3 linked regions of the Arabidopsis thaliana genome follow. The protein of the gene in region 1 interacts with the protein of each later gene in a biochemical or structural test. Each region holds a gene or a part of one and is shown in the gene's direction. Other genes may lie near its edges.

What was found. The genes of interacting proteins can lie anywhere in the genome.
Region 2: of the proteins of FLS2 (region 1) and PUB13, one has a biochemical effect on the other in vitro, tested with the Arabidopsis thaliana proteins (2 studies listed by BioGRID, with this or other methods).
Region 3: the proteins of FLS2 (region 1) and RIN4 form a complex in vitro, tested with the Arabidopsis thaliana proteins (one study listed by BioGRID).

What each region holds. Positions count from the first base shown.
Region 1 is NC_003076.8:18,789,017-18,797,466, forward strand, and holds FLS2 (Leucine-rich receptor-like protein kinase family protein), read left to right. Parts: upstream 1-2,558; 5' UTR 2,559-2,785; coding exon 2,786-5,924; intron 5,925-6,008; coding exon 6,009-6,391; 3' UTR 6,392-6,892; downstream 6,893-8,450. Other genes in the region: RWA1 (O-acetyltransferase family protein), read right to left, coding at 7,345-7,500, 7,583-7,679, 7,747-7,803, 7,895-7,957, 8,058-8,146, 8,235-8,321, 8,400-8,450.
Region 2 is NC_003074.8:17,122,769-17,128,756, reverse strand, and holds PUB13 (plant U-box 13), read left to right. Parts: upstream 1-1,859; 5' UTR 1,860-2,217; coding exon 2,218-2,487; intron 2,488-2,755; coding exon 2,756-2,872; intron 2,873-2,965; coding exon 2,966-3,415; intron 3,416-3,505; coding exon 3,506-4,651; 3' UTR 4,652-5,026; downstream 5,027-5,988. Other genes in the region: ACT12 (actin-12), read right to left, coding at 1-48, 131-190. UniProt on the Arabidopsis thaliana protein: Functions as an E3 ubiquitin ligase.
Region 3 is NC_003074.8:9,130,355-9,135,050, forward strand, and holds RIN4 (RPM1 interacting protein 4), read left to right. Parts: upstream 1-1,783; 5' UTR 1,784-2,103; coding exon of another isoform or gene 2,104-2,109; 5' UTR 2,110-2,536; coding exon 2,537-2,998; intron 2,999-3,076; coding exon 3,077-3,259; intron 3,260-3,363; coding exon 3,364-3,393; 3' UTR 3,394-3,734; downstream 3,735-4,696.

The sequences.
Region 1 (8,450 bases):
CACTAAAATATTTGAATTTCTTTTTACATGTATTTATTTTCAACTATTACCATTAATTTCTTTATTAGAAAAGTCATATTCAACATGTTTTATCAAAACTTTCTGTCAAAAGATGATATTAGAACTAAATTCGGACAATATTTTAGATAATTCCTCGTTTGCGACGTAATACATGATGTCAAAACTATGTTACATTTAGTAGTACTTATCTTGAATTAAATAAAATTAAGAAAAAAATATGAATGGGGTGTTACTATGGCATATATCTATTACCTCTGGATTTCATTCTATATACAAAAATATTATTTTAAAATGATAATTTACACGCGCCAAATATGCGTACCAGCCACGAGGCAAAAATTACTATATAACTTTTTTTGAAAATAAAAACTAATTTTTTGTTTTTTCAAAATAAGATACAAATTATACGTAATTCCTTAGTAAAGCCTGAAAAACATCAAACTTTATTTTGGCTAAAGGACATCATAAAACCTACTATGTAATTGTCATTAACGTTTGTTTAACTAACCAAAATAAATTACTGAATCTTGAACTATAAATTCGAATATAGAGAAAATATGAAATTTTGTAAGTGTTATTAGACATCCAAATTTTAAAACCGCGTAAACTACACTACAATTTAAAATCGGAGTATGTAACCTACATAGAGCCTAACCACCTCCTAAGCCGTATTTAATAACATTGTTATATTATGTAAAGATATGATATATATCGTTAAGTAATATTATGTAGTGAAAATCCGTCACAAATCATAATAACTTGTAGTGATCAAACTTCTTGTATATAATCTACTTTGTTCTCGCGAGCACCTTAATCAATCATCCCATTTAAAAAATTTCTTTTTGCTATTAACATCTTAAATGTTAAATCTATCATTGAGCAATGTAACAGTTCTGTGTGAAGAAACAAGGAATCACTTACTTCTACATTGTCTCTTTACAAAGGAAATTTGGCACATGATAATGCTTCGGTTTGGGCAATCTCCTTATATCTTTGCAGACTTGTCTATTACCATAGGTAATCATATAAAAGTTATTATATATGAACAATGTTCCTATGGTAATAGAAATTCACATTTTATTAAAAAAACTGATACGAATAATTCAAAGAAATAAAATAACTTTTATATGATTGTCCATAAGATATAGTCAAAACGCAAAAGACTTTGCTCTAAGAAATATTAAAAAGAAAAACAACAAGACGAGGATTATTTCTTTTCAATAATTAAAACATTAGTATAAATACAATCACATGCTTAATGTAATAATGTGACAGTTTGGCCGAGTGGTCTAAGGCGCCAGATTTAGGCTCTGGTCCGAAAGGGCGTGGGTTCAAATCCCACAGCTGTCAATTTGTTTTTTTCTTTGACTCCTTTGTTCATCTTTATTTTAAAATCAATATAAACCCTTTTCGGACATTCTAAATATTTTGACCCAACCTAATGATATTCATTATTTGTCTAACGGGTCAACTTTCAAGTCTTCAAGTAAACATGATATGGAATTATATGGGTCAACTCCAAGTAAGAACAGTGCATGCATCTTGAAGACAAAATTGATTTTTTTTTTTGTTTTTAATTAATGGAAATTTTGAAATACTAATGGGTCAAGATGAGGTTGTCCAAATCAACTGATATCATATATGACCAGATTCCTCAATAGTCATTAGTCAATACAAAATCCATAATCTTTTTTAAAAATATAATCTTTTTATTTTAAATCGCCTATTTTTTTCCATTCATTTGTCCAATGTGAAAAGCCATAAATCATATATTAAGAAGTTGTGAATTGTGATCATAGGAGTAATATTTCTATCTGAACAAAAATTGAATTTTGTTTTGCTTTTTGTTGAAAGATAAATAAAATGTTTGGCAGATTGTTTGTACAGAACACAACTTGTTGATAAAACAAATTCCATCAAGACAGCTAATGAGCTTTTGATAGTCAGAGCTTTGAAGACGTGTTAATGAATTAAACTGATTAGACCTAAAACCAAATATTTAGAAAGAAAAAAATATGATAATTGTTATGTTATTTAATCAATAGTCAAATACTATGTTGAGTACCAATCATTTCAGTTTCAACGATTGCTACTCTTTTGACCAATAACAAAAAGGTTTTTATTTTTCATTTCTCAAACTCCATTTTTGTTTGTTTTTAGCATAAAAACAGCTAGAATGTGAGTTTCATATGTATTATATACTATAAGAAATCATATAAATTAACGACTAGAACATATTGTTTTCATTCTAGTGGTATATCTGAGTTTGACTAGAACGTTTGGAGGCAGATTAAAGTGATTTCGCCTTGTCAAAACTACTTTGTATATGTTATCAATCAATCGCTCAAAACTAAATCGGAAAAAAACTACATAAATAAGATATGGAAAATGATACTAACACAAACTAGTAAGTAAGTAGTCACTACATATTCTGGTCCCATGAATATGGCTTACATAGTACATACATTGTGAGATTAAATGAATATGATATATAATACAAGCATATAAGCATGTGCATGACTATGAAGTGGGAATACATTTAGTGCCTTTATATGCAACTTGACAGAATTACCAATTATGTGAATAGTGAAACTTATATTGCGTCTTGGCCTTTTCACATCCGTGACATGATCCCTCAAATCTATATCTTCTTGCGGCATATGCTTATATATAAACATATGACTTCGTCTATAGATTTATATCCAGATAATTAATTCTCTCATAATATCTTCTCCACAATTTCAACTCTTCTAAAGTCTAAACCATGAAGTTACTCTCAAAGACCTTTTTGATATTAACTCTCACCTTCTTCTTCTTTGGCATTGCACTAGCGAAACAGAGCTTTGAACCAGAGATCGAAGCTTTGAAATCCTTCAAGAATGGTATTTCCAACGACCCTTTAGGAGTATTATCAGATTGGACCATCATCGGTTCGTTACGACACTGTAATTGGACCGGAATCACCTGCGATAGTACCGGACATGTAGTCTCGGTTTCCTTGCTGGAGAAGCAACTTGAAGGTGTTCTGTCTCCAGCCATAGCGAATCTCACCTATCTCCAGGTTCTTGATCTCACTTCAAATAGTTTTACCGGCAAAATACCGGCTGAAATAGGAAAGTTAACCGAGCTTAACCAGCTTATTCTGTACCTAAACTATTTCTCTGGTTCGATTCCTTCTGGAATCTGGGAGCTTAAGAATATTTTCTATCTTGATCTTAGAAATAATTTGTTGTCCGGTGATGTTCCTGAGGAAATCTGCAAAACCAGTTCTTTGGTATTGATTGGGTTTGATTACAACAACTTAACCGGGAAAATACCAGAATGCTTAGGAGATTTGGTTCATCTCCAAATGTTTGTAGCAGCTGGTAACCATTTAACTGGTTCGATTCCGGTATCAATTGGTACTCTGGCTAATTTAACGGATTTAGACCTGAGTGGTAACCAGTTAACCGGAAAAATACCGAGAGATTTTGGAAATCTCTTGAACTTACAGTCTCTCGTTTTAACTGAAAACTTGTTGGAAGGAGATATACCAGCTGAGATCGGAAACTGCTCGAGCTTGGTCCAACTTGAGCTTTACGATAACCAGTTAACCGGGAAAATACCAGCTGAATTAGGGAATTTGGTTCAGCTGCAAGCACTCCGGATATACAAGAACAAACTTACTTCTTCAATTCCATCTTCATTGTTCCGGTTAACTCAGTTAACCCATTTGGGGTTATCAGAAAACCATTTGGTTGGACCGATATCAGAAGAAATCGGTTTTCTTGAGTCACTTGAAGTCCTCACACTTCATTCCAACAACTTCACAGGAGAGTTTCCACAGTCCATCACAAACTTGAGGAACTTGACAGTCCTAACGGTGGGGTTCAATAATATTTCCGGTGAGCTCCCGGCGGATCTAGGGCTTCTTACAAACCTTCGGAACCTTTCAGCGCACGACAATCTTCTTACCGGACCAATACCTTCCAGCATAAGTAACTGCACCGGTCTTAAACTCCTGGACCTGTCTCACAACCAAATGACTGGCGAGATCCCGCGGGGTTTCGGAAGGATGAATCTTACGTTCATTTCTATTGGGAGGAATCATTTCACCGGTGAAATTCCAGATGATATCTTCAACTGTTCAAACTTGGAAACTCTTAGTGTGGCAGATAACAACTTAACAGGAACTCTCAAGCCATTAATTGGGAAGCTTCAAAAACTCAGGATTTTGCAAGTTTCATATAACTCTCTCACTGGACCGATTCCTCGAGAAATCGGGAATCTGAAAGATTTGAATATCTTGTACCTTCACTCTAATGGTTTCACAGGGAGAATCCCGAGAGAGATGTCGAATCTCACTCTCCTCCAGGGGCTAAGGATGTATTCAAATGATCTTGAAGGTCCAATTCCTGAAGAAATGTTTGATATGAAGCTACTCTCAGTTCTTGATCTTTCCAACAACAAATTCTCAGGTCAAATTCCTGCCTTGTTCTCCAAGCTTGAATCGCTTACCTACTTGAGTCTTCAAGGAAACAAATTCAACGGGTCTATCCCTGCAAGCCTTAAGTCGCTTTCGCTTCTCAACACATTCGATATCTCCGACAATCTTCTCACTGGAACCATCCCTGGAGAGCTGTTAGCTTCTTTGAAAAACATGCAGCTTTACCTCAACTTCTCAAACAACTTGTTGACTGGAACCATCCCAAAGGAGCTTGGAAAGCTTGAAATGGTTCAAGAAATCGACCTTTCAAACAATCTCTTTTCTGGGTCTATTCCAAGATCTTTACAGGCCTGCAAAAATGTGTTCACACTGGATTTTTCGCAGAACAATCTCTCGGGTCATATACCAGATGAAGTCTTCCAAGGCATGGATATGATCATAAGCTTGAACCTTTCAAGGAACAGTTTCTCTGGAGAAATCCCTCAGAGCTTCGGGAACATGACGCATTTGGTCTCCTTGGATCTCTCTAGTAACAATCTCACTGGTGAAATTCCAGAGAGTCTCGCCAATCTTTCGACTCTGAAACATCTCAAACTAGCTTCAAACAACCTCAAAGGCCATGTTCCTGAATCCGGGGTGTTCAAAAACATCAACGCCTCTGATCTAATGGGAAACACAGATCTCTGTGGTAGCAAGAAGCCTCTCAAGCCATGTACGATCAAGCAGAAGTCGAGCCACTTCTCGAAGAGAACCAGAGTCATCCTGATTATTCTTGGATCAGCCGCGGCTCTTCTTCTTGTCCTGCTTCTTGTTCTGATTCTAACCTGTTGCAAGAAAAAAGAAAAAAAGATTGAAAATTCATCAGAGTCCTCATTACCGGATTTGGATTCAGCTCTGAAACTGAAGAGATTTGAACCAAAAGAGTTGGAGCAAGCAACAGATTCATTCAACAGTGCCAACATCATTGGCTCAAGCAGCTTAAGCACAGTGTACAAAGGTCAGCTAGAAGATGGGACAGTGATTGCAGTAAAAGTATTGAATCTAAAGGAATTCTCTGCAGAATCAGACAAGTGGTTCTACACAGAAGCTAAAACATTGAGCCAACTAAAACATCGAAACCTGGTGAAGATCTTAGGGTTTGCGTGGGAAAGCGGCAAAACGAAAGCTTTAGTGCTTCCATTTATGGAGAATGGAAACTTGGAGGACACCATTCACGGCTCTGCAGCACCGATTGGGTCGCTTTTAGAAAAAATCGATCTTTGTGTTCATATCGCAAGCGGAATCGATTATCTTCATTCTGGATATGGTTTTCCCATCGTTCATTGTGATCTGAAGCCAGCTAATATACTCCTTGACAGTGACCGCGTTGCTCACGTAAGCGATTTTGGAACTGCTCGGATTCTAGGTTTCCGCGAAGATGGAAGCACCACAGCTTCAACATCAGCCTTCGAGGGTACAATTGGATACTTAGCTCCAGGTAAATTACTCACAACACTTAATTTTCAAAACCCTAATTATGCCATCGACTTACTTGAAATACACTCTTATTTTTCATGAACAGAGTTTGCTTATATGAGGAAAGTGACAACAAAAGCCGATGTATTCAGCTTCGGGATCATAATGATGGAGCTGATGACGAAACAGAGACCAACTTCGTTGAATGATGAAGATTCACAAGACATGACTTTGCGCCAATTGGTGGAGAAATCGATTGGAAATGGAAGAAAAGGGATGGTTAGGGTTCTTGATATGGAACTCGGGGACTCTATTGTTTCTCTGAAACAGGAAGAGGCTATTGAAGACTTTCTGAAGCTTTGTTTGTTCTGTACAAGCTCTAGACCTGAAGATCGACCTGATATGAACGAGATTCTTACACATCTGATGAAACTTAGAGGCAAAGCGAATTCATTTCGAGAAGATCGTAACGAGGATCGAGAAGTTTAGCAGCAAAGCTTTTTTGATGACATTTTTTCGACTTTGCCAAACTCTGTTACGAAGGTTGAATACTTTGGACGTAAAACGTTCTGATTTTGCTTTTCGTTATGTATTTCTGTTTTATATAAGGTTGAAATTTGGTTTTGATGAACTTTTTCATATACAAATGCATTAGGCTACACATGGATACTATAGTTTCTTATTGCAGGCAGATCAGGAATAAGGTTCGTCAAGTTTTTGTCATCATGATGGAGATGACGTTTGTCCCTTCCATTTAATCATGAAACAATACCACTGCTAGTATCGGACAATAGGCAATCTCACGACGGTTATCGAGAACACAGAAGATGACTCAAAGATCAATGCCACACAAGACAATTGTGTAGACTTGCCAAGTAATAGCTGTGAAAACTAGAGTCATTACATTTTCATCTCCCCGGGTAATGTTTTCCATTCTCGGCTAGCGAACCGCAGAAATTGCAAGACTAGACTGATAGAAAACCATGTCAGTGACTGTTGAGAATGAATTCTTCTTTAAAACTTTGCAATTTCATATAATTCTTTAACATCACTATACATTTTTGGACGAACTACATATTGTTTGCTTAATCCTTACAAAACAAAATCTAAAGAATATAGCACAAAAAATTGAAAACTTTAAATCGGAGACAATTACTTCGCTTTTGTATGGCAATAGAGAAAAGTAGTTGAGCGATGTTGGTCTATGCGGTTCTTGGTTCTGCCTTTGGTGAACGTCCTTTGAAGCTGAATGTGCACAAGAAAATGATCAACAAAACTAACTTGTCTTTTTACTTATTTTCCTTTGCTTTGATGCGACCACAATGAAGAAACACAAAGAACAAACACTTGTTTTTGCCTGTAAATGACAGAAATCAACAAAGTTTTCGTTAGATTTTTTATGAGTGGATGGCCAATGAGAATGATTTGGGGACTCACGGTTTCTAACGATGAATCTGAAGAAGAACGAATGAGAAGCAATAGAGTGGAAGAGCGATGGCAATCCCAGCTATGAAGTTAGAGAAGAGTCGCTTGTTGTCTTTTGTGGGTACGAAAACCGTCTTGAGTGTGTTGGTTAGTTCAAAGAGACGGTGAGATACCTGGCGAACAAGAACAAATAGAGATGTTTCAGAAAGCTTGCTAATAGAAAATACGGGGAGAGAAGAAGTTACGGTTTCTTACAAGGACGTATATAGCAGTTGTCAGCATGAAATTGAGCATAGGGTATCCCGGAATAATAGAGAGAAGCCATTTTGGTTGCCCGTCAGGCATGTTTGATCTGAAAATTGGTGTCTTTGATTTAACAAATACGCTTCCAGGAAAAGATTAAGTCACAGAAAACAAACCTTAGCCATATATGAAACTGGGAAATGTAAGTCTCTAAAGTGATCTTGCCAAGCCACCTGCGCAGAGAAATGTAAAGAGTTTTACATGGAAATGAGGCAAGCATATCAAACCAGGTTTTAGTTTAAATGTAAGTACGAGTTGACTCACGCAAAGAGAGTCAATGAGACACTTCGAAGCTGGTGGGTGAAATTCCGAAGGCATATGTAAACACTGGAACCCAGAAATCAAATGGTGAGTCATGTTTCAGTTTCAGCAAGTGACATAAGAGACAAATATAAAGACCAATAAAAAAAGAGTTTTATGCACAGACGTGATGGGGATCCATGATGTGTACGGATGATACATGTTGTAACTGGTCCTGTCCAGCTTGTAGATACATTCATACCACACATAGCCAACCTAAAATGTGACCAAACGGGAAAATTATATCAATCTGTACAATGGGAATGGTGCAATTACCAAGCTAAAAGATGACTAAATGACTTACAAGCACAGTAATAGTAACAATAGCGGCCTTTATGGATAGTCTTTTCTTCGTTTCACAGTCCTCTAACTTCTCCATCCATCTCTCTACCTAGAGAATGATCCCAAGTTTTGAAGTTTATTACATCGACACTACAAAAAACGGAAAAAAATGGAAGTAAGAACTTACAGTTGGGTGATAATAGGCATAAATCATTCCGATGATCCATATGTAGCGATC
Region 2 (5,988 bases), on another chromosome or scaffold:
GATACTTGGGAATACAGCTCTAGGAGCATCATCACCTGCAAAACCAGCCTACACGCACATAGTTGAATTGCTTAACTTATGGCACATAATAACATTCACAAATCTTGTTTCTCTAAAGCTTTTTGATTACCTTGACCATTCCAGTCCCGTTATCGCAAACGAGCGGCTGAATATCTTCACCGTCCGCCATTTTTCAATCTCTAGCTGATTACATCAACATAAGAAACATAGCAAATTCAAAGGAAACACCAATAATTAATGCCAATCTCATAACTAAATCTAAAACAATAAAATGTAACCATTAAATCTAATTCGTTACGTATACCATAATCAAACGCATTAGCGTTACATTTATATTGGTTTTGCCTCCTTGTGATCAAAATTTTGACATCAAATAAACAAAAAAAATAACATGTACCTGATGAATTTACGTAGATCTAGAAGAAAAGAAAGAGGTTGTGGAATCGTGCCCTGAAATTGGGTTTCAAAAATTTCTGGAAAACAGAAGCAACTTTGGCCCTTAATATCGTTCATACACGGGTCTGAGCCGTTAGTTTTCTTCATTGAGACCAATATCTCAGCCTCTATAGACACGTGTCCATCTATTTTTAGGTTGGAGAATTAAGAAAACACCAGCCTAACCTGAAAATACGGTTTAGGCTCTGTTTTACCGGAAGAATCGGGTCACCGAACAAGCATGAGTGGTAATGAGCCCATTTGGGCCTAAGAAAAAGGTTAAAAGGCCATTTTCTTTAGATTATTCAATTTTAGACAATCAGTGAAATTTCAGTAACATTTCCTTCTAGTTTCTAGTAATTTATGTGTTCAACCGAAATTTCAGTGCTATGTAAAAGAGTGCTATCCAAACTATAATTAAGAAAAAGGGTAAAAGATCTTAGTGGGTGAGGTATGGAAATTGCTGAAAAAGTTCTGGGAAGAATGAGAGTAATGATGATAACGGTAATTGACAAATGTGATAATGATGATAGGGATATGTGCAAGTAAAATAATCAAGCATGTGCATAAGATTCATTATTTGACATGAGACTTTATTATGTGTTTTTGCTTATTATAGTTTCTTACAAAACAAATGAAGAAAGTAGTGAACAACATACAACAATACTAAATAACAGTGTGATTGTTGAAGAAATAGTTTCCATTTAATATTTAAAACTAGGCTTCCAAGGCCTTGACAAATTTCATTAGAGAAGGATTTATTTTTAATTAGTGGAATATATGATCAAGAAAATAAATTGACATTTTGGTATAGATTAGGGACATTGGAGACAGAGGGGTTGATTTTGAGATTGAATTTTGACTTTTCTGTGTATTTAGCTTTTAGCCACCAATTAAAGCAAACATTCATTCATTTTGTCATGTTGATCGCTGCACTTATCTAACTAGAGTATTATTCCCTTTTCGAGGTACCCAGAGGATTAAGCATTTTTTTTAAAAAAAGAGCCTAATACTTTACCTAATAACAAGAAACATGTAGAGTAGAAACAAGTAAAAAAAAGTTTAAAAGAAGAAGGATTAGATCAAAAGAAATAACTATTTTAGGATAATTTCGTTGTCCAGTTGAACTATTTTTAATTTTTCTTTTTAAAATATTTTCTTGCATGATTAGAGAGATAGAGGTATAAAACCTTTTTAATTCTTCAATTATCACTAAATCCAAAATTATAAATGCATTAACAATTTTGTTCTTCTATGACACCCCAAAAATGTCACCAACTACAGCAAAAAAGTGACCACTATATCCGTAAAAATTCGTATATTCAATCCGTGAAAATATAATAGTTGAAAAATATTCAAAATTTCACAAGAAAATTAGTAATTTTATAGAGAAATAATTTAAATGATAATATAATATATTAATGTAAAAAATAAAACAAACACAATCGTAACCGGTCCCGCGGCTTCGTGGTCGAATTTACCTTTGTTCCGGTTTAGTTCTTAAGCCGAGAGAATCGTACAAGTTGCAATAAGCTAAAGCCGTCAGCTAAACGACGCCGTTTTCGAAAAGTCCTCGTCTTCTCTCTCACACAATCTCTCTTTCTCAGAAATCTCTCTCTTTCGCACTTTCTGCAAATGGTTCTCTTCTTCCTTTAAGCTCAATCTCGCCACTGGAGTCTCAATCGGGAAAGATCTCCATCTTCTCCGGAGGAAAAACGGATCCGTAAATCGTGAATTTTTAAACAGAGAAGAATCAATTCAATGGAGGAAGAGAAAGCTTCTGCTGCACAGAGCTTAATCGATGTAGTTAACGAGATTGCTGCGATTTCTGATTATCGTATAACAGTGAAGAAGCTTTGTTATAATCTAGCGAGGAGATTAAAGCTGCTTGTTCCTATGTTTGAGGAAATTAGAGAAAGTAACGAACCGATCAGCGAAGATACGTTGAAGACTTTGATGAATTTGAAGGAAGCTATGTGTTCAGCGAAGGATTATCTCAAATTTTGTAGCCAAGGGAGCAAGATTTATCTGGTGCGTTTCTTCTTCGATTTATTAGCATCTATGATTAGATCTGTGTGGTCACTGAGAATTTTTGTTCTCGTTGACGAATTGGTGTTTTCATTGAATGAGAGAGCCACGTGCTTTGTTTTGCTATGGTAGTGTTTGAGTGATATCAATGCTTCTTTGGTATTTGATTAGATGTTAGATTTGGTAGTGGTTGATGTGACTTGATTGATCTATGGAAGTTGTTGAGAATTTGTGCTCTGATACACAAGAGATGTTGTTGTTCTGTGTGTAGGTGATGGAGAGGGAACAAGTGACAAGTAAATTGATGGAGGTGTCTGTTAAGTTAGAACAATCTTTAAGCCAGATTCCATATGAAGAACTCGATATATCGGATGAAGTTAGAGAACAGGTAAATTCTTGAAACCCAAGGCTGGCTAGGCCAGTGTCTGGATCAGTAAAGACGACATGTAGTTGATTCATAGCGTTTTTTTGGTTGTTGTAGGTTGAGCTGGTTCTTAGTCAGTTTCGGCGAGCTAAAGGAAGAGTAGATGTATCAGATGATGAGCTATATGAAGATCTTCAGTCGCTTTGCAACAAAAGTAGTGATGTAGATGCTTATCAGCCTGTGCTAGAGCGGGTTGCGAAGAAGTTACATTTGATGGAGATTCCTGACCTAGCTCAAGAATCAGTGGCTCTGCATGAAATGGTTGCTTCAAGCGGTGGAGATGTTGGTGAAAATATTGAGGAGATGGCAATGGTATTAAAGATGATTAAGGATTTTGTGCAGACGGAGGATGATAATGGCGAGGAGCAGAAAGTAGGAGTTAACTCTAGAAGCAATGGACAGACTTCTACGGCAGCGAGTCAGAAGATACCTGTGATTCCTGATGATTTTCGCTGTCCGATTTCGCTGGAAATGATGAGAGATCCAGTTATTGTTTCATCAGGGCAGGTATAGTTCACTTCAACCTCAGCTTCTTCAAATTTATTTCTGCGATCTCTTAAGATTTAATTATAGAAGCATGTTCTCCTCTATGTATAGACATACGAACGCACATGTATTGAGAAATGGATAGAAGGTGGACACTCGACATGTCCAAAAACACAGCAGGCGCTAACAAGCACAACCCTCACACCAAACTATGTTCTCCGTAGTCTCATAGCTCAGTGGTGCGAGGCCAACGATATTGAGCCTCCAAAGCCTCCGAGCAGTTTAAGACCCAGAAAAGTATCGTCCTTCTCATCTCCCGCAGAAGCGAACAAGATTGAAGATCTTATGTGGAGACTTGCGTACGGAAACCCCGAGGACCAACGATCTGCAGCTGGGGAAATCCGCCTTCTTGCAAAACGAAATGCAGACAACCGCGTGGCCATAGCCGAAGCTGGAGCCATACCTCTTCTCGTAGGTCTCCTCTCAACTCCTGATTCTCGTATTCAAGAACATTCGGTAACAGCTCTTCTAAACCTCTCCATATGTGAGAACAACAAAGGAGCCATTGTTTCAGCTGGAGCTATTCCTGGTATAGTTCAAGTGCTTAAGAAAGGAAGCATGGAGGCCAGAGAGAATGCGGCGGCTACACTTTTCAGTCTATCAGTGATCGATGAAAATAAAGTGACTATCGGTGCCTTAGGAGCAATTCCGCCACTCGTTGTATTACTTAATGAAGGTACACAAAGAGGCAAGAAAGATGCTGCTACTGCACTCTTTAACCTCTGTATATACCAAGGAAACAAAGGAAAAGCTATACGTGCAGGAGTGATTCCCACGTTGACTAGACTCTTGACAGAGCCCGGAAGCGGAATGGTCGATGAGGCACTCGCGATTTTGGCGATTCTCTCTAGCCACCCCGAAGGAAAAGCAATCATAGGATCCTCTGATGCAGTCCCAAGTTTGGTTGAGTTTATCAGAACTGGCTCGCCTAGAAACAGAGAAAACGCAGCTGCTGTTCTAGTCCACCTCTGTTCTGGAGACCCACAACATCTTGTCGAAGCGCAGAAACTCGGCCTTATGGGTCCATTGATAGATTTAGCTGGAAATGGGACGGATAGAGGGAAACGAAAAGCAGCGCAGTTGCTTGAACGCATCAGCCGTCTCGCTGAACAGCAGAAGGAAACGGCTGTGTCACAACCGGAAGAAGAAGCTGAACCAACACATCCAGAATCCACCACAGAAGCTGCAGATACTTAAAGATTGTCTTTGTTTTGGATCCTCGGGTCATCTCTTTCACGTACGTATGTTTATTATTCTCACTTTTTGTTTGTGCTACTCATCCTCCCTCGAGGTAGGATTCACGGTAGACGCGGAAGAGGGAAATGGCCTCCTTCTCCGATCTACTTTTAACTTTATGGTGATATCTTTGTGTGGACAGAGCAATCTGGTCCACAGGAGAGAAAAGCAAATATGCATACATACACGTCAACTTGTATCATTGTAACACTATGTTTGTAATCATTTCCACGAGCTTTTTTTTGTTTTCAATACAAGATCTCTCTGTTCGCTTTCTTAATAGCATTGAGATACTAATTGAATATAATGCAGATTCCCATTTTTCATGAACAGATGCGTAAACTGCTTGTAGAGTCGATAGATTCCATGCATAATGTTTCAATACAAGTATACAAAACTATCAAATAGTAAAATCTCAACCCGTTTTAAAATTTCTTAGAGAATCCATAGAACAAATATGTCTCCAAGCACAAATATAACATGTAATGTGACTCCACTACACTCATCACAAGTAGAGACCATTCCTTCGGATCATAGAGAGAGAGAGAGAGAGAGATAGAACACATCAAATACATTTCCAGTGTTAGATTATTATATATGTCGAACTACTTTACTAGATGTATTGTGCAAATAGATTCAAAAAGGGGTTGTTTAATTAGGGTTTAAGATTTTAGCAAAGTAAGGATATGAGTTTATTGCCCAAATCCAAGGTGTTCGGCTTTAATGTCGAAAACCAGAGATGGAACTATGAGATACTGTTTACAATGCGGTGACCCCTTTTGTAACATCTGCAAAGATGCGTGGCATAGTAACTTGTCGTGCGAAGATTACAAGAGATTGGGTCCAAATCCTACAGAAGATGATATAAAGTTCGAATCTTTAGCAAATCAGAATATGTGGCGTCAATGTGGAAATTGCAACCAAATGATTGAATTTTCTAATGGATGCATCAGAGTAACATGCATGTATCATCATCATCACATATTCACATTCTCTATCTGTTATAATTAATCCTTTTAGAATCTGTTTATGTTTTCACGTAATTAACAGTATCGTAATGTTCATGGTTGATGGATATCATATAGATGTGGCTACAAATTTTGTTACATATGTGGAGCCCAATGGAAGACATCAAGACAGGAGGAAGTTCCCCTCATCGAGAAAGCATGGTTGCGGAGGATGATCGTATGCGTAATTATCTTATGGGCGTTATGAGCGTTTCCGTAGCCACTAGAATGGTTCTACACTTGTGATGAGTGTAGTGGAGTCACTTTAAACGCGGGTTGATTTAATAGATT
Region 3 (4,696 bases), on another chromosome or scaffold:
TATGTATATATACATCCATTTCTGACTCATGTGGCCCTATTTTGGAGTGAGGTTTTAGTCAAAAACTCTAACAATACATTCCACGCGTTGAACAAGAAAACCAAACCGGGTCAATTTCAATTTTAGTGAGAAGAAAATACCAAGAGGTTCTTGGTCCCTTTGAGAAAAGCAGAGTACCAAAGTGCAAATTCAAGTTAATTGACAAATGTGAAAGAGACTTAAGAATTGAGACTTATTAAAGAGACTAAGAGAGTGATAAACCCCTTAAATAATGTATTGAGAAACCCTTACCTTTGTGGCTTTGTGACACTGGTTTGTATGGTTGTGGCGGACAAATTCGTTTGCGGATTGAACCATTTTATATATTATAGTCCGTAAGAGTATGGATTGAGACAAATAGAAGAAATCCGTCGTGGACCAATTTATATAAAATAAACTTGATTTGGGGTGGATTGTTGTATGTCCCAAAAATAGAGTAACGCTCCAAAACTAAATAACACCAAAAGAATTAAGAATGCACACGATCTCTTAGTTGTCTTTAGTCTTAACTAACCATATCACTTGACTACAAAAAATAAAAAGACACACTCACGTTGAGAAACTGATGAAGCTGAACGATCTGTCTTCTTTGATTTGATCTTTCTTATTTTTTCGTGAACAATCTCTAAAATATTCCCATTAAGGCATTAACCATGTGAAAACACTTGTACGTGTGGACTATATAGTTCACGTGTGTATGAGTACGGGAGCATTGAATAATTATCGCTACGGCAACCACAAATAAATTGATGTGAACAACGCTGAATACTTTCCATTTTTCAACTTTGTCTAGTAAAAAATTACTAAAATAATGTTCCAATTATGGTTTTTAGTGAACATCTTATTGTCATTGGTGATTCGATAATAGATGCTACGAGACATGTTATTTGTTCTTGGAAGAAAGAGGTACGTAAATTCTCAAAAGGGTCTTTCAGTGTAAAGAGGCAGCTTTGACTTTGCTAACACAAAAAGTCTCCATATGATTATTTTCTTTTTCTTTTCAGAAGTTAATATTCTCAATTTCTCATAAACATTTTCAATTCTTTCTTTTGTTATTGGTTGAATAATTTTGTTGAGTTTTATAAATGATGTTTTAATGTGAAAACCAAGAAACAATTGATCATTTAATTAGTTTCTTGATTAGTGTGCTAAAACCTTAAACATCAACTAAGATCAAAAAGAGATTAGGTAGTTGTGGTCAACCACCTTTGATGATAACTTTCTCATTTCTAGTTTTCTAACTATTTTGTTCATACTGCCTTTTTTTTTTCCTTGTACTCGTAGAACACTTTTTATTTACTTACTATCACTTTGTAGTACTCTTCACAAAACACTTTTAAGTTTTCTCTAAAAAAAACTATGAGTGTAAATAATAAAAGTATACGTACTAGCGTTAAATGGCGATATTTGTAAAAATAGTTATTGTACTATTTGTATCACAAAAATTGCAAGTAGTTGATTCAAATGGTAACCTATCTATAGACGAATTGGTACCAATCGTCACCAAAAGAAATTTCAGTTATTACTACTCATTAATCCGCTAAAATCCAAGATCAATAATTCACTAAATTCTGCTATAACATTGTAACATTGTTGCTATCAATAATCAAATTATTCTATTAGCATATAATTATTAGATCCACAAAACTTATCTACTAGAGCAGAAGATTCCACCAAAAGTTGCTTCCGACCCACATATCCAATTCTTTAGGACAAAAATATTTATTACAATCTTTTAAGAGGAAAACAATGTAACATGGACACCAAAATAAAGCCGCCTTTAACGGTGACGGTAACGGTAACGGCGTTTGAGTGCTCTTGACAATACATGAAAATTTAGTAATAGAGTTAAGAAATGAAATTAATAGAGTTTGGAGTGAGACAAAGAGAGAAGAGAAGATTAGAGAGAGGAGAGGAAGGGTCAAAGAATACATAGCATCACCACTAGTCAACGCTTTTATAAAACTTCTTCTTCGTCTCCTCTCCTTCTCACATCTCTCTCTGTCTTTCTCTCTCAAACCTAACAAAAGCTTCAGACTTCAATTCTTTAGCTACCTCTCTCCCATGGCAGTAAGTGTTTTCTTTCCTTCTTTCCTTCTCCTCTTCTTCTTATTTAGGTCTAGAGCTTTCTCTCAGATTATAGTTTTTGTTTCGATTCCGTCAATCTCTGACCCTTTTTTTGGAGGATTTGTAGAAAGTTGAGTCTTAATCTATTTGCATTTATGGTTCTTCCTATTGAGATAACATTTCTATGGATTGCGATGTCTATTAGTATTCAACTTTATGATTCTGATTTGCTTTAGATAAGAAAAGGGTTTTATGAAAGTTACTATTTTTATGGTAAAGTTTCTATTTTTGCTTAGCAAAGATTTCAACTTTATCATTGTACTTGGTCGAAATCGATAAACCCAATTTGTATTTGTTCTGTTTTGGATTCTTAAGTGAATTTGCTATCTTGTTTCTGTGATGATTGTTCTTTAGGATGTTATGTTATTGAATGTTTTGTGGAAGGACATTGTTGTTGAATTGTTTGTTGCAACAGCGTTCGAATGTACCAAAATTTGGAAACTGGGAAGCTGAGGAGAATGTTCCTTACACAGCTTACTTTGACAAAGCTCGTAAGACTCGAGCACCCGGTAGCAAGATCATGAACCCGAATGACCCGGAGTATAACTCTGACTCTCAATCACAAGCTCCTCCTCATCCTCCTTCTTCCAGAACCAAACCTGAGCAAGTTGACACGGTTAGAAGATCACGTGAGCATATGAGAAGCCGAGAAGAGAGCGAGTTGAAACAGTTTGGTGATGCTGGTGGTTCATCAAATGAAGCTGCTAACAAAAGACAAGGAAGAGCTTCTCAGAACAATAGTTATGACAACAAGTCACCTTTGCATAAGAATTCTTATGATGGTACTGGAAAATCTAGGCCTAAACCTACCAACCTTAGAGCTGATGAAAGTGTAAGAATCTCACTTTTAACCTCTAAAGTGAGAATATCTCTGTTTGTTGCTTATGTGTTGTCATCTGTTTATATATAGCCTGAAAAAGTCACAGTGGTGCCTAAATTCGGTGACTGGGACGAGAACAACCCGTCATCAGCTGACGGATACACGCATATCTTCAATAAAGTCCGTGAAGAGAGAAGTTCTGGAGCAAATGTGAGTGGATCTTCAAGAACGCCGACTCATCAAAGCTCCCGTAACCCGAACAACACTTCCTCAGTAAGACATTCTTTAAAACTCATTTTCAAGTATAATCATTAGTGAATACGTATTCAAATAGTGAGTGTGTGTTGAACATTGGTTTGTCTTGTGCAATTTGACAGTGTTGCTGCTTTGGCTTTGGAGGAAAATGAAAGGGACCGGAAGATTGTATATAGTTATCGAGAAATCAGTGTGTAATCTTGATGATTAGACATTCGTGCTTCTTTAGATGAAATAAGGCATAAGTCTCACTTGCATAAGATTTTTATAGTATAATTTTTGTATGTATATTTTGCAATTCTTCCTTAATACTTTTGGTGTTTTCATAAGACACATTCCAGTTTCGGATCTGCTTGCAGATGCATTATATCTTGCTTGGTACGGCCTGAGTGATTTGGTAACTGATTTGATATGAATCAGAGATATTTGGGTACCTCCAAGTTTGTTGTTTCTAATGTTCAAAGCCTTAACTCTGCACCACTATAAAGAAAGACCCATAACTTTTTATATAAAATCAAGATTAAGATCTTTGGAGGATGATGACTCGTATGGTCCATATGATATGGACATCAAAGAAGAACGAATTGACACTTGTTTCCTATATGGCTTTGTACAGTGTAATCAGGTTTGATTCTCCAGCTTTATGTACTTACTATTTCAGCATTCTCTATGCCCAATAATTAGACTTAAATGCAATCTTTTTAAACCCGACCTGGATGGTGAACTAGACTACTTTTTAGGTCACGGGGTCAATGGATCAACCGGATTCGACCACGGATCAATTGATTAAAATTTATTTAATATTATAGAAATTATTAGTTTGTATAAATATAAATATAAAAATAATTATACCATGGTCTAACAATAATAATAAAGTAATTAAATATTTAAATCTAACTAAAAGTCTAAAATAGTAACATATACTAAAATAGTAGGAGTAATGACGAAAATAAAATAATAAAACATCGCGAATTCAAAACAACTAATCTCGGTTGTCTCTATCACCATTCCATTCGTTTTTTTAGGCGGTATTGTGAGATTTTTGTCAAAATCTAAAATATCTTCTAAGTCTTAAGAATTAAAAAAAAAAATCTAAAAATAACCGAATAAAGTCTAAACTCTTATATTTTATTCCAGAATCAAATGAATTTTTAAACCACCATTCTTCAAGCTTTGGTTGATACTTGGTTAGCTTGAAAAACGGTTTAGTGATTTGGAACATGCGAAGAAAGCTTATGATTCTAGTTTGAAACATTAATCTCGTTGCATACCACTCAGAATCTCGCTTGATGATTTTGAAGAGAAGGTGAATGGGCTGAATCCTAATTCATATTTGATATGATCCTAATATGATTGTAATGACTACCTGGTTTTGTTACAATATACGAAAGACCCATTAGATAAGTATATAGTAGATGTAGAAAACATAATAAGATTGAATTTTTGGAGGTTTGA